Linked DNA regions of Saccharomyces cerevisiae S288C. Changing the gene in region 1 together with any one later gene gives a genetic interaction. Each region holds a gene or a part of one and is shown on either strand. Other genes may lie near its edges.

Evidence for each region.
Region 2: mutations in MGM101 (region 1) and FAD1 together harm fitness more than expected from each alone (negative genetic interaction), as found in Saccharomyces cerevisiae (one large-scale study listed by BioGRID).

Annotation. Positions count from the first base shown.
Region 1 is NC_001142.9:699,141-704,922, reverse strand, and holds MGM101 (Mgm101p), read right to left. Parts: upstream 4,042-5,782; coding exon 3,232-4,041; downstream 1-3,231. Other genes in the region: HMS2 (Hms2p), read right to left, coding at 1-727; YJR146W (uncharacterized protein), read right to left, coding at 685-1,038; 40S ribosomal protein eS4 RPS4A, read left to right, coding at 1,855-1,868, 2,125-2,896; PMT4 (dolichyl-phosphate-mannose-protein mannosyltransferase), read left to right, coding at 4,309-5,782. UniProt on the Saccharomyces cerevisiae protein: Performs an essential function in the repair of oxidatively damaged mtDNA that is required for the maintenance of the mitochondrial genome. Binds to DNA.
Region 2 is NC_001136.10:372,188-376,626, forward strand, and holds FAD1 (FMN adenylyltransferase), read right to left. Parts: upstream 1,422-4,439; coding exon 501-1,421; downstream 1-500. Other genes in the region: mitochondrial 37S ribosomal protein mS37 MRP10, read left to right, coding at 61-348; MTF2 (Mtf2p), read right to left, coding at 1,780-3,102; spliceosome assembly protein PRP11, read right to left, coding at 3,493-4,293. UniProt on the Saccharomyces cerevisiae protein: Catalyzes the adenylation of flavin mononucleotide (FMN) to form flavin adenine dinucleotide (FAD) coenzyme.

The DNA.
Region 1 (5,782 bases):
TCAAAGGTGTTTCTGACAATTCGGATGCGTTTGGTATTAGTAACAGCAACGAGTAGCGTTTGGGGCGCTTTGGTTGGCGTTGCTGGTGTTGTAGACAAGAGTCCGGGCATACAACCTTTTTGATGGCTTCAAAATTTTCTTGAAGGAAGTTAGCGGTTTGGTAGGCGTGAAACTGGTGGTAGGAGATTGTCTGTAAGCTGGCGTTAATTTCCCTTATAATACGCAGACTATCTGCGTTTGTCGACTTAAGCTCATCAAGATTGCCCTGAAGCCTGTCAACATTTTTCACTAATTTCTCGAAGGAAGGCTTGCCGATGGCCTTGCTTAGAATGGAGTTCACTTTGAAAGGGTCCCAGTGAAAAGTACACTGCTTATTCATATTATTGACGGCGGCGACATTGGGAGTGGCGGCAGACTGATGAGCTTTAACCAGTGAGAGGCTATTAATGTTATCTTTTTGAAAATGAATGTTGGAAAACTCCACGCAGTCCGGGCGGCCCGCCTTCTGGAAGTTATATTTGCTCAATTGCTTAACGAATGCTGCAAAGGTGTGAATACCAAAAAATCGCTCTAGGATGACTTTGGTGAACTGGTCCGGATTCCAAATGACGAGCTTGCTGCCATCAGTCGACCATTGTATTATGTTCGAGTAAGCGTTCCCCTGCAGCAGGTGGTAGAGTTTGCTTACAAAGACATCAGGCTGCTCCATCCTCGATGTTGCATCCATGTCTGACGTGCGTCGCTACACGAAAGAGACACACTTGGCGACTGCCCTGACTGGCAATATATACAGTCCGCAAATGTCGCGGACTGATGCGTCCACTTACTCTTCCTATATACCACCTGGGTGAAGAGGAGAAGTGAGCCCGTTCTGGAGATATATGTCCAAATATTTGCAGATCCAGTTTTGTCATTATAATGAGATGCCTTTTGGGCGACAAAGTTCGGGTAAAAGAAGGACGGGTCCAGGAAGGCCGTGGCCACAGAACAATGCGCAGAGAAGATTTCCGGTTTCTTTTTGGCTTTTCCGACTTTCATCTTTTAGAACTAAAGATTTCCTGCATCGGTAAACCTTAGCAATGTTTCTCTAGAGGGTTTTTGCACACCAGACACGTCGCACGTGCTCTTGCAGAGACTGCTGCGCTTTCGTTTACACTCAGATAACATAGTCTAGCTAGCTTGCTGTCGTTCGGCACGAGATCTAATCCTTCTCCTGGCCTACCGTCTGTGCAACCATTAGTCATGATTACGTGTGTTGCGCCTTATCTTGTCATTATGGCAGCATACTTTTCGTAGTCCTTTCCTGCGCAGCTTGTCCATTTTCGTCATTACGTAAAAAGTCCTAATGGAGAGCTGGGTACTGCATTTTTTCGATGTTTTCAATATTCAGTTCAGCAGGAAATAAACAAATAAACAAACATTAAAATATCCTGGTTTTTTTTCCCAGAGACGCGTGGAAGCACCCATGCATCCACTATTTATTTTTAAACAGCCGTACATTCTGTAATTTTGCTTCCTTTTTCTTCCTGCGTTCTTTTTTTCTTGAACTGTCGTTTTCCGTTATTTTTTTCGGTGACATCAGTTGAAAGTAGCAGCGGCCTAGGCCGGGAGGCCGTGTAGCTCTTTGTAGTCGTGGTAAGGGGGAGTAGCAATTCACTTAGTACGTGGTCTTGGAGTTAGGCTGGCTCGGACTGGCCCTGGCAAGTCCTGTTCTGTGTGGTAGTATTGAAATTTCAGAGATTGTCGGCAATACTAGTATATTAAAAATTATACTATAATTTAATCTAGTGTTGAAATACTTTCTTATATAGCGATTTTTCTGCCCAAAACAAACCAAAGAATCAATACGCAAAGATGGCTAGAGGACCGTATGTTTGACTATAGACTTTGATTATAATTACGCAAGGATGAGAAGAATGATAGACAAGAAACAAGTGGAGTCTTAACCAAACGAATAGGAACAACAATGAACCAGTTTATGTCCATTTAATTTTAGATCATCCTGGGATTGTACAAATATTTTACGAGTAATGATTTACTAACGAGCACAATGAAAAAAATAAAATGTCTGTATCTTCATTATACATTCATTTTTGCCCTTTTTTCTCATTTTTTTCCGTACAGAAAGAAGCATCTAAAAAGATTAGCAGCTCCACACCACTGGTTATTGGACAAGTTGTCCGGTTGTTACGCCCCAAGACCATCTGCTGGTCCACACAAATTGCGTGAATCCTTGCCATTGATTGTCTTTCTAAGAAACAGATTAAAGTATGCTTTGAACGGCCGTGAAGTCAAGGCTATCTTGATGCAACGTCACGTTAAAGTGGACGGTAAGGTTAGAACCGACACTACCTACCCAGCTGGTTTCATGGATGTCATCACTCTAGATGCCACCAATGAAAACTTCAGATTGGTCTACGATGTCAAGGGTAGATTCGCTGTCCACCGTATCACCGATGAAGAAGCTTCTTACAAGTTGGGTAAGGTCAAGAAGGTTCAATTAGGTAAGAAGGGTGTTCCATACGTTGTTACCCACGATGGTAGAACTATCAGATACCCAGACCCAAACATCAAGGTCAATGACACTGTTAAGATCGACTTGGCCTCTGGTAAGATTACTGATTTCATCAAGTTCGATGCCGGTAAGTTGGTTTACGTTACTGGTGGTCGTAACTTGGGTCGTATCGGTACTATCGTTCACAAGGAAAGACACGATGGTGGTTTCGATTTAGTTCACATCAAGGACTCCTTGGACAACACTTTCGTCACTAGATTGAACAATGTCTTCGTCATCGGTGAACAAGGTAAGCCTTACATTTCTTTGCCAAAGGGTAAGGGTATCAAGTTGTCTATTGCTGAAGAACGTGACAGAAGAAGAGCTCAACAAGGTTTATAAATTTCATAACAACTTAATTATTTTCTTCTTTTGTATATCTCCATTAATGTTTATTAGAAATTGAATTTTAAAATAATACATCGTATCTTCCTTTTTCGACTGGCAGTAATATAACGTATAATATATATATTAGGTGTGTGTATATATATCCGTATTGTAATATTGATAGTAAAAATACGCTAACCCTGAAATAGAAGGCGTATGATAAGACGTACTGACACTACGCACTACCACAATATATGCGTATGTGTGTGTGTGTGTGTGTGTGTGTGTGTGTGTGATTGTATTGGAATATATATACTTACTAAAATTAGCTTATATGGTTCGCATATTGACTATTTATAAGGATATTCAACTTGTCTGTCCTTTCTTAACCAAATTTTCTTCTTTCTCTTGGTGGTAACATGTTCCACAAACTTCTCAGTACAATGATCCACTTTGAATTTCTTTATGAAAACAGGGTCCCATAATTCAGAACCGACGCCGAGATCTTTGCAACACCTCATTAATGCATTACTTTTGCAACCTTCTGTAGCAGTTGGTATGCCGGCTTCGTTGAAATAGTCTTGTTCGCCTCTTGCCACACTGATCAATTGACCATGGCAAATAAGACCGTACTCCCTAGTGACCAGCTTGGATGTCACTATTGTTTGTGATCTTGGCACTAGCCCCCAACCGCCTGCGCCAAAAGCTTTGTTCAGTATTCTACGGTATTTAATTTCAGGCAAGTATATCAAACCATCTGGCTTGATTTCTATATCCTTAGGGTCCAGAGGCTCGATTAGATCCTTTTGCACTTTTGCTTCAAAGGGCTTCATACCTAGGCCATACCATGAAGTATACCAGTCAATGTCTCCCTTGACTTGCTTATAACTATTGTTCAAAGAATCATCGGCGGTGCTGCGGGTTTCCAAAGGGGTCCCGCCGAGTTTAGAGTTAATGCCGCTTGAATATTCCTTCATGTGGCTTCCATTGCCAGCTTCCGATTTTGTTGCAAATACAGGCTTGGTTTCGGTACTGTTGAAACTTTTCCTCACTGCACCGGCTGTTGCGGTGTTACTAGTGCCGGTACTCACCACGGTTCTTTTTTGGCAAAATTGAGCAGCATGCGATACACATCCTCTAACCTTGAAAATGCTTTTCATCGTACGCTGATCTTCCTACTTGTCCTTTCTTTCCTTTTTTAGTCTCTACCGTCTTTTTAAATAGTTTCTTCCATTATTCTGTCGATAAATTTCGTGATGTTATTCGTGTATTTCTTGACAAAAAAAATAAAAAATGAAAAATATGCATAATGAAACGCGCTTTATCAAAACTACTCACTCGAATCCTTACTTCTATATTAACTGTACTAAGAAGTTTGTCGATACATATTTTACCAAGATATTTTCTGACAGTCCACAGAAGTACAGATGTCTGTGCCCAAAAAACGTAACCATGGGAAGTTACCACCTTCCACTAAGGACGTAGACGATCCTTCGTTGAAGTACACGAAGGCCGCGCCTAAATGTGAACAAGTTGCTGAACATTGGCTCTTGCAGCCACTACCGGAACCGGAATCACGTTATAGCTTTTGGGTAACAATTGTTACCTTATTAGCGTTTGCTGCTAGATTTTATAAGATCTGGTATCCAAAAGAAGTTGTTTTTGATGAGGTACATTTCGGGAAATTTGCATCGTATTACTTAGAAAGGTCTTATTTCTTTGACGTTCATCCCCCTTTTGCTAAGATGATGATTGCCTTCATTGGTTGGTTATGTGGCTATGATGGTTCCTTTAAGTTTGATGAGATTGGGTATTCTTATGAAACTCATCCAGCTCCATATATCGCGTACCGTTCTTTCAACGCGATATTGGGCACATTGACTGTACCAATTATGTTCAACACTTTGAAGGAACTGAATTTCAGGGCTATTACATGTGCGTTTGCATCTCTCTTGGTTGCAATCGATACTGCGCATGTTACAGAAACTAGGCTGATTTTACTGGATGCCATCTTGATTATTTCTATTGCTGCTACTATGTATTGTTACGTTCGTTTCTACAAGTGCCAATTGCGTCAACCTTTTACATGGAGTTGGTATATTTGGTTACACGCTACTGGTTTGTCTTTATCCTTCGTGATTTCCACAAAATATGTTGGTGTTATGACATATTCCGCTATTGGTTTTGCTGCTGTGGTCAACTTATGGCAATTACTGGACATCAAGGCGGGTTTGTCCTTGAGGCAGTTCATGAGACATTTTAGTAAAAGGCTGAATGGTTTAGTTTTGATTCCATTTGTGATTTACTTGTTTTGGTTCTGGGTTCATTTCACCGTTTTGAATACTTCAGGTCCTGGCGACGCATTTATGTCTGCTGAATTTCAAGAAACACTTAAGGACTCTCCCTTAAGTGTTGACTCTAAAACCGTCAATTATTTTGATATTATCACTATCAAACATCAAGATACTGACGCATTCTTACATTCTCACTTGGCACGTTACCCACAACGGTATGAAGATGGTCGTATCTCATCCGCTGGTCAACAAGTTACTGGTTACACGCATCCTGACTTCAACAATCAATGGGAAGTGTTACCACCCCATGGCAGTGATGTCGGTAAAGGACAAGCTGTTCTATTGAACCAGCATATAAGATTGAGACATGTAGCCACCGATACCTACTTGTTAGCCCATGATGTCGCCTCCCCATTTTACCCTACCAATGAAGAAATCACTACAGTAACTTTAGAAGAAGGTGATGGGGAATTATATCCTGAAACACTTTTTGCATTCCAACCACTGAAAAAATCAGATGAAGGTCACGTTTTAAAGAGTAAAACGGTTTCTTTCCGTCTTTTCCACGTTGATACCTCCGTAGCTTTGTGGACTCACAACGACGAGT
Region 2 (4,439 bases), on another chromosome or scaffold:
CTTACCATAGCAACACGAGGGCTCGCCGAAACTTCCATCTAAAATAAAGAGTGCCCATTAATGTCCGGAAAACCACCAGTTTATAGATTACCCCCTCTTCCCAGACTAAAAGTGAAGAAACCTATCATTAGGCAAGAAGCGAACAAATGTCTTGTTTTAATGTCAAACTTATTACAATGCTGGTCTTCATATGGTCATATGAGCCCTAAATGTGCTGGCTTAGTAACGGAATTGAAAAGTTGCACTAGTGAAAGTGCCCTCGGCAAAAGAAACAACGTTCAAAAGAGCAATATTAACTATCACGCCGCTAGGCTGTATGATAGGATCAACGGTAAACCCCATGATTAATTTTATATCCAAAAGCAGCAAGAATGAAAACTTGATAATATTAAAGTCATGGCCTTGTATATACAAATTAAATAGTCTCAACGGAAAATATATAAACTTTTAATCTAATAGTAACATCAGCATTTTATTTTCTTTCCTCCGTTAAACCGTACTTAATTCTTGATCCTGCCTGCTCTCTCTAAAGTGTCATCAACCAAATACCAGCCAGGATAGTAATTGTCATGGTATTTGCTGAATCTTTCCTTATCCACCACGGAAATAGGTGACGTGTTTATAGCGGAACTACGTTCGCCTTCTGCGTCCTTGCCAAATGCATGAATGATTTCCCATTCAAAATGCAAGGCTGGATTATTGGAGTCCTTTCTCAAGTGTGGGTTAGGCAATGAGTTGTTAATTCCGCCGATTGATGTGAAACCTTTACCATATAGTCCACAAATTGGCTCATTAGAATACAGTAAGAAACTCCATATATTGGTTAAGTCCCAGTGTAAGAGAGGTTGCAACCTCATAAAATCAGGCCAGTTAGAATCTGTTCTTTGAATAGGCTTTAATGCTTCACCAAATGGGTCTGTGTGTCTAATACCTATCACTATAGCTTCGGTCTCAGGGTATATCTTTATAAAATCTCTAAATGCGTCTGCCATATTGACCGATGCACCAGATTGCCTTTGTGATTCGTATAAGGAAAGGCAATATCGCTCTGAGGTTTCCAGTACAAAATTCTCTAATGTAGGGAAAGTTTCTTCTTGATCAATGAAAACAGTTGGAAGTCTTTGCATGGGGAAGCTTTGAAACTCGAAATCGAATTGGGAATTTTGAGCCTTAATGAAGAAATATTCCCATAAGCAACTCAGATATAACAGTAGTAATACCTGGCAATCTTTTCCTCCGTTGTACGAGAATGATATTTCCCCATTCAGTGGACTCCAACGTACAAAAATTTCACTTAGTAAGTATTTTCTTGTCAACCGTATCGCTTCTTGTGTACTTGCTATTATCTGAGATTTCTGGTCTATGTGTAAGTAAGAGTTTGTTATCTCATAACACATCTCAGCAGCCTTGCTCAACTGCATATTGTGCTCCCCTATTTGTTTATTACTTTTTGCAAATGTTGCCCTCTATACCGAGAAAGTAATATCAGTTTTTTCCACTCTCAGTCAACAAAATCTTTCGAAGATTTTTCGAGGTTCTTTCTATAGACGGATCCTTAGGTTCTTGCTAACCAACGTGTTGTATATGAAACCCATCTCCAAATTTTGAGCTCTTCCCATCCTTTTGTTTCCTCGGACTCAATGAATTTGAAATCTGCCGAACAAGCTAACTAAAAAATAGGAAAATTGGAACAGAAGTTAAATGCGAGCAGGAACGTTTATTAGCGCTTTTAAGTCTAACACATATATATAACACTATTTACAAGGTTTGAATAATTTTCTACCTGTCTCTAGTTAAATTTTTTTTGAGGCTTTTGAGATAATTTTCAACAATTAGTAAGTCATTATTCGTGTCTTTATTCCATAAAACACCTACATTCACTATTTTATTTGCGCTGGACGAAACTTCCTCATCTGCACTGAGCTGTTCTCCTGCTTCAAGAAAGACATCCTCATTTAAACTTCTCATTTCTTTGACAATCTTATCCAATATATCCACGGTTTCAATATTTCCGATGACACCATTAACGCTCATCTCGGTAACCACACGTCTCAAGTAGCGAATCTCCTGGAAGTTTTCCCACAATAGCTGAACCAGCAAATTGTAGAAATCAACATTACAAATTGTTAGGTACAGTGAAGCGTCCATGTTGTTTTTACATTCATTATAAACATAGGAGATCAATGTGTACTTTCTGTCTGCCGGGAAATCAAAGTCACCTAATCTAAGCGATTTGACTATAATATATGGTAAAGTCATTGCAAGCGGTTTCGGTAGTTCTGCCGGTTTATTTATACACGCACTTCTAATGTCTTCGAAAATGTTTGAAGATTCTGCATTCATCTTTAACTCTAGGTCTTTGTTCCTTTTCTTGTAAATGTCTAGTGATTGCTTTAGGTATCTTAAAAGATCGTAATCACTTTTAACAGCTTCCCTCAAGTAGTCAATGTGAGGTTCTAAAACCTGATCCAGTGTGGTTTGGTACCGAATCTTATTACCAATTTCTTGCATCACTTCCTCGCTAAATTTGACGTTGGAATGTGCAACTGGCTGCCTCAAAGCTTCCATTCCCGAGCCCTTGCGCAGATTAAGATTCAGCAATTCTCTGTTGCTTTTATTAATGCTATTATCTTCGTCAAATATCTTTTCCAGCAAAGTTCTTGTCTGCTCACTTATCGTTTTAGTGCTAATAGCAGAAGGTTCTGCCCGTTCGTAGACATAGTCATTGCCTGCTGTTTCCTTCAGGAATTCATGGTCCTTATTTGGAAGCTTCCTTTGAGCTCTTTGACTGTGGTTAAAAACAATTTTTTCTTTTTTTACACTAGTTCCCTCGGAGTTGTCCTGTAGCCCATTGTAATACTTGTCAATTATTTTGCTAGCATTAGTGTGCCTCATGTTTTCAACCCTTGCTCCAGCTTCGAATAGTTCTCCAAATACCTTACGTTCCTCTTCGAGAGCTTGTTCAAATGTCTTTTCATTTGAAACTCTTTCTACGTTGTGAGTTTTTCTATCTTTCAAATTGGCTTCATTCAGCAAGCATCTATGGATGCAATGTATGTATCTATAGTTACAGTTTTTTAATATAGATGATGTTCTGATCATTGTATGGCGTGTTGTACTCTTCCTTAGTTCCCTCTTCTTCCTTTACAATTATCTCTCAAGTATAGCAAGCGTTGTCACATCACAGTTTTCGGCCTTGTTCGCCTAATTACATTTTTCTGAATAAATACGTATGTATGCTGCGAGTACTAGATACTGTTGATAAATGGTAACATAAATACTCTAGATCGCAAAAGCGCATGGAAGTTGAGCAGTAATATAATTTTAGAGGAATATGGTTATTATACTCCCTGAGAATAAGTGCACATTGGATGGGAAAATTTCGTAAAAAAAACTCTTGTAAAGACAATTGTTTCCTTAATAGCTATTATATAATCCAATTTGGTTAGAGTTTTGTATGCCGATTATTAACGTTACCCAAAAATAATACTGTCATACATCGGCTTGTTCTTGTTCGGCTTGTTTAAAGAAAAATTGAACGTAATAAAGTTTTGATATAGCATCCCAAAATGTACACTTTTTATTTAATTCATCTACTCCATCGTTATTATTGTCCATGTCATTGTTTTCGCTGAATAATATTTCGTTTGGAGGTAGCTCAATAGCAATATTTTCAAAGGGTTCATACGCAATAACGAGAAATTTTTTTCCCTTCTGTTTGGTATCTGATAGCTCTAAACCAGATACAATCCTAATGAGAGGAGGGACTTTAGCCTTATCATCGCTATCGACACTATTTTCTTTGACTTCACTGCTATAATTTACCTGGATAGCCAAACCTACTGAACCGTTCTTCGGGTTTTTCACGGTAGCTATTTTACAAACAGGGATCGTACCGTTATTCTTTAAAGATTGCTTAGCTTCAATTATCTTTTGTTGTTGTCGGAAATCATGAGTTGTTTGGCCTTCTCTCCCTAGAGAACTTTTCTCTATACTGATACCACGCCTTAACACATTTAAACCATGTTTTTTACCACCCAAATGCCTTTCAACGCTGGACCACGACATGTGCATTGTATTACATAGTTTACAAACCAGTTTACCGGAATGATTCTTGTAAATGTACGGATTGGACCTTACTTGATCGTCCTTTTCATCTTGGAAAGTGTACGGGACATTTTCGCCTTTACTAAGTAATGATTCGACTTCTTTCCTTCGTTGTAAGTTAAACTGAGATTCTGAGGCTATACCACCACCTCCTTTCTTTGACCCAACGCCTTCTAAATAGTTCATTTTGAATGTATGGATGCGTTAAATGATTTGAATTTGCTGTTCCACCTGCCCTTCTTACATTAAGCTATTTGTGAGAGCCTTGCGTCTTTAGCAGATTTTTTTTTTTCATTTTTTTAGTGAGATGGGCGGTACATGTAATATTTCAC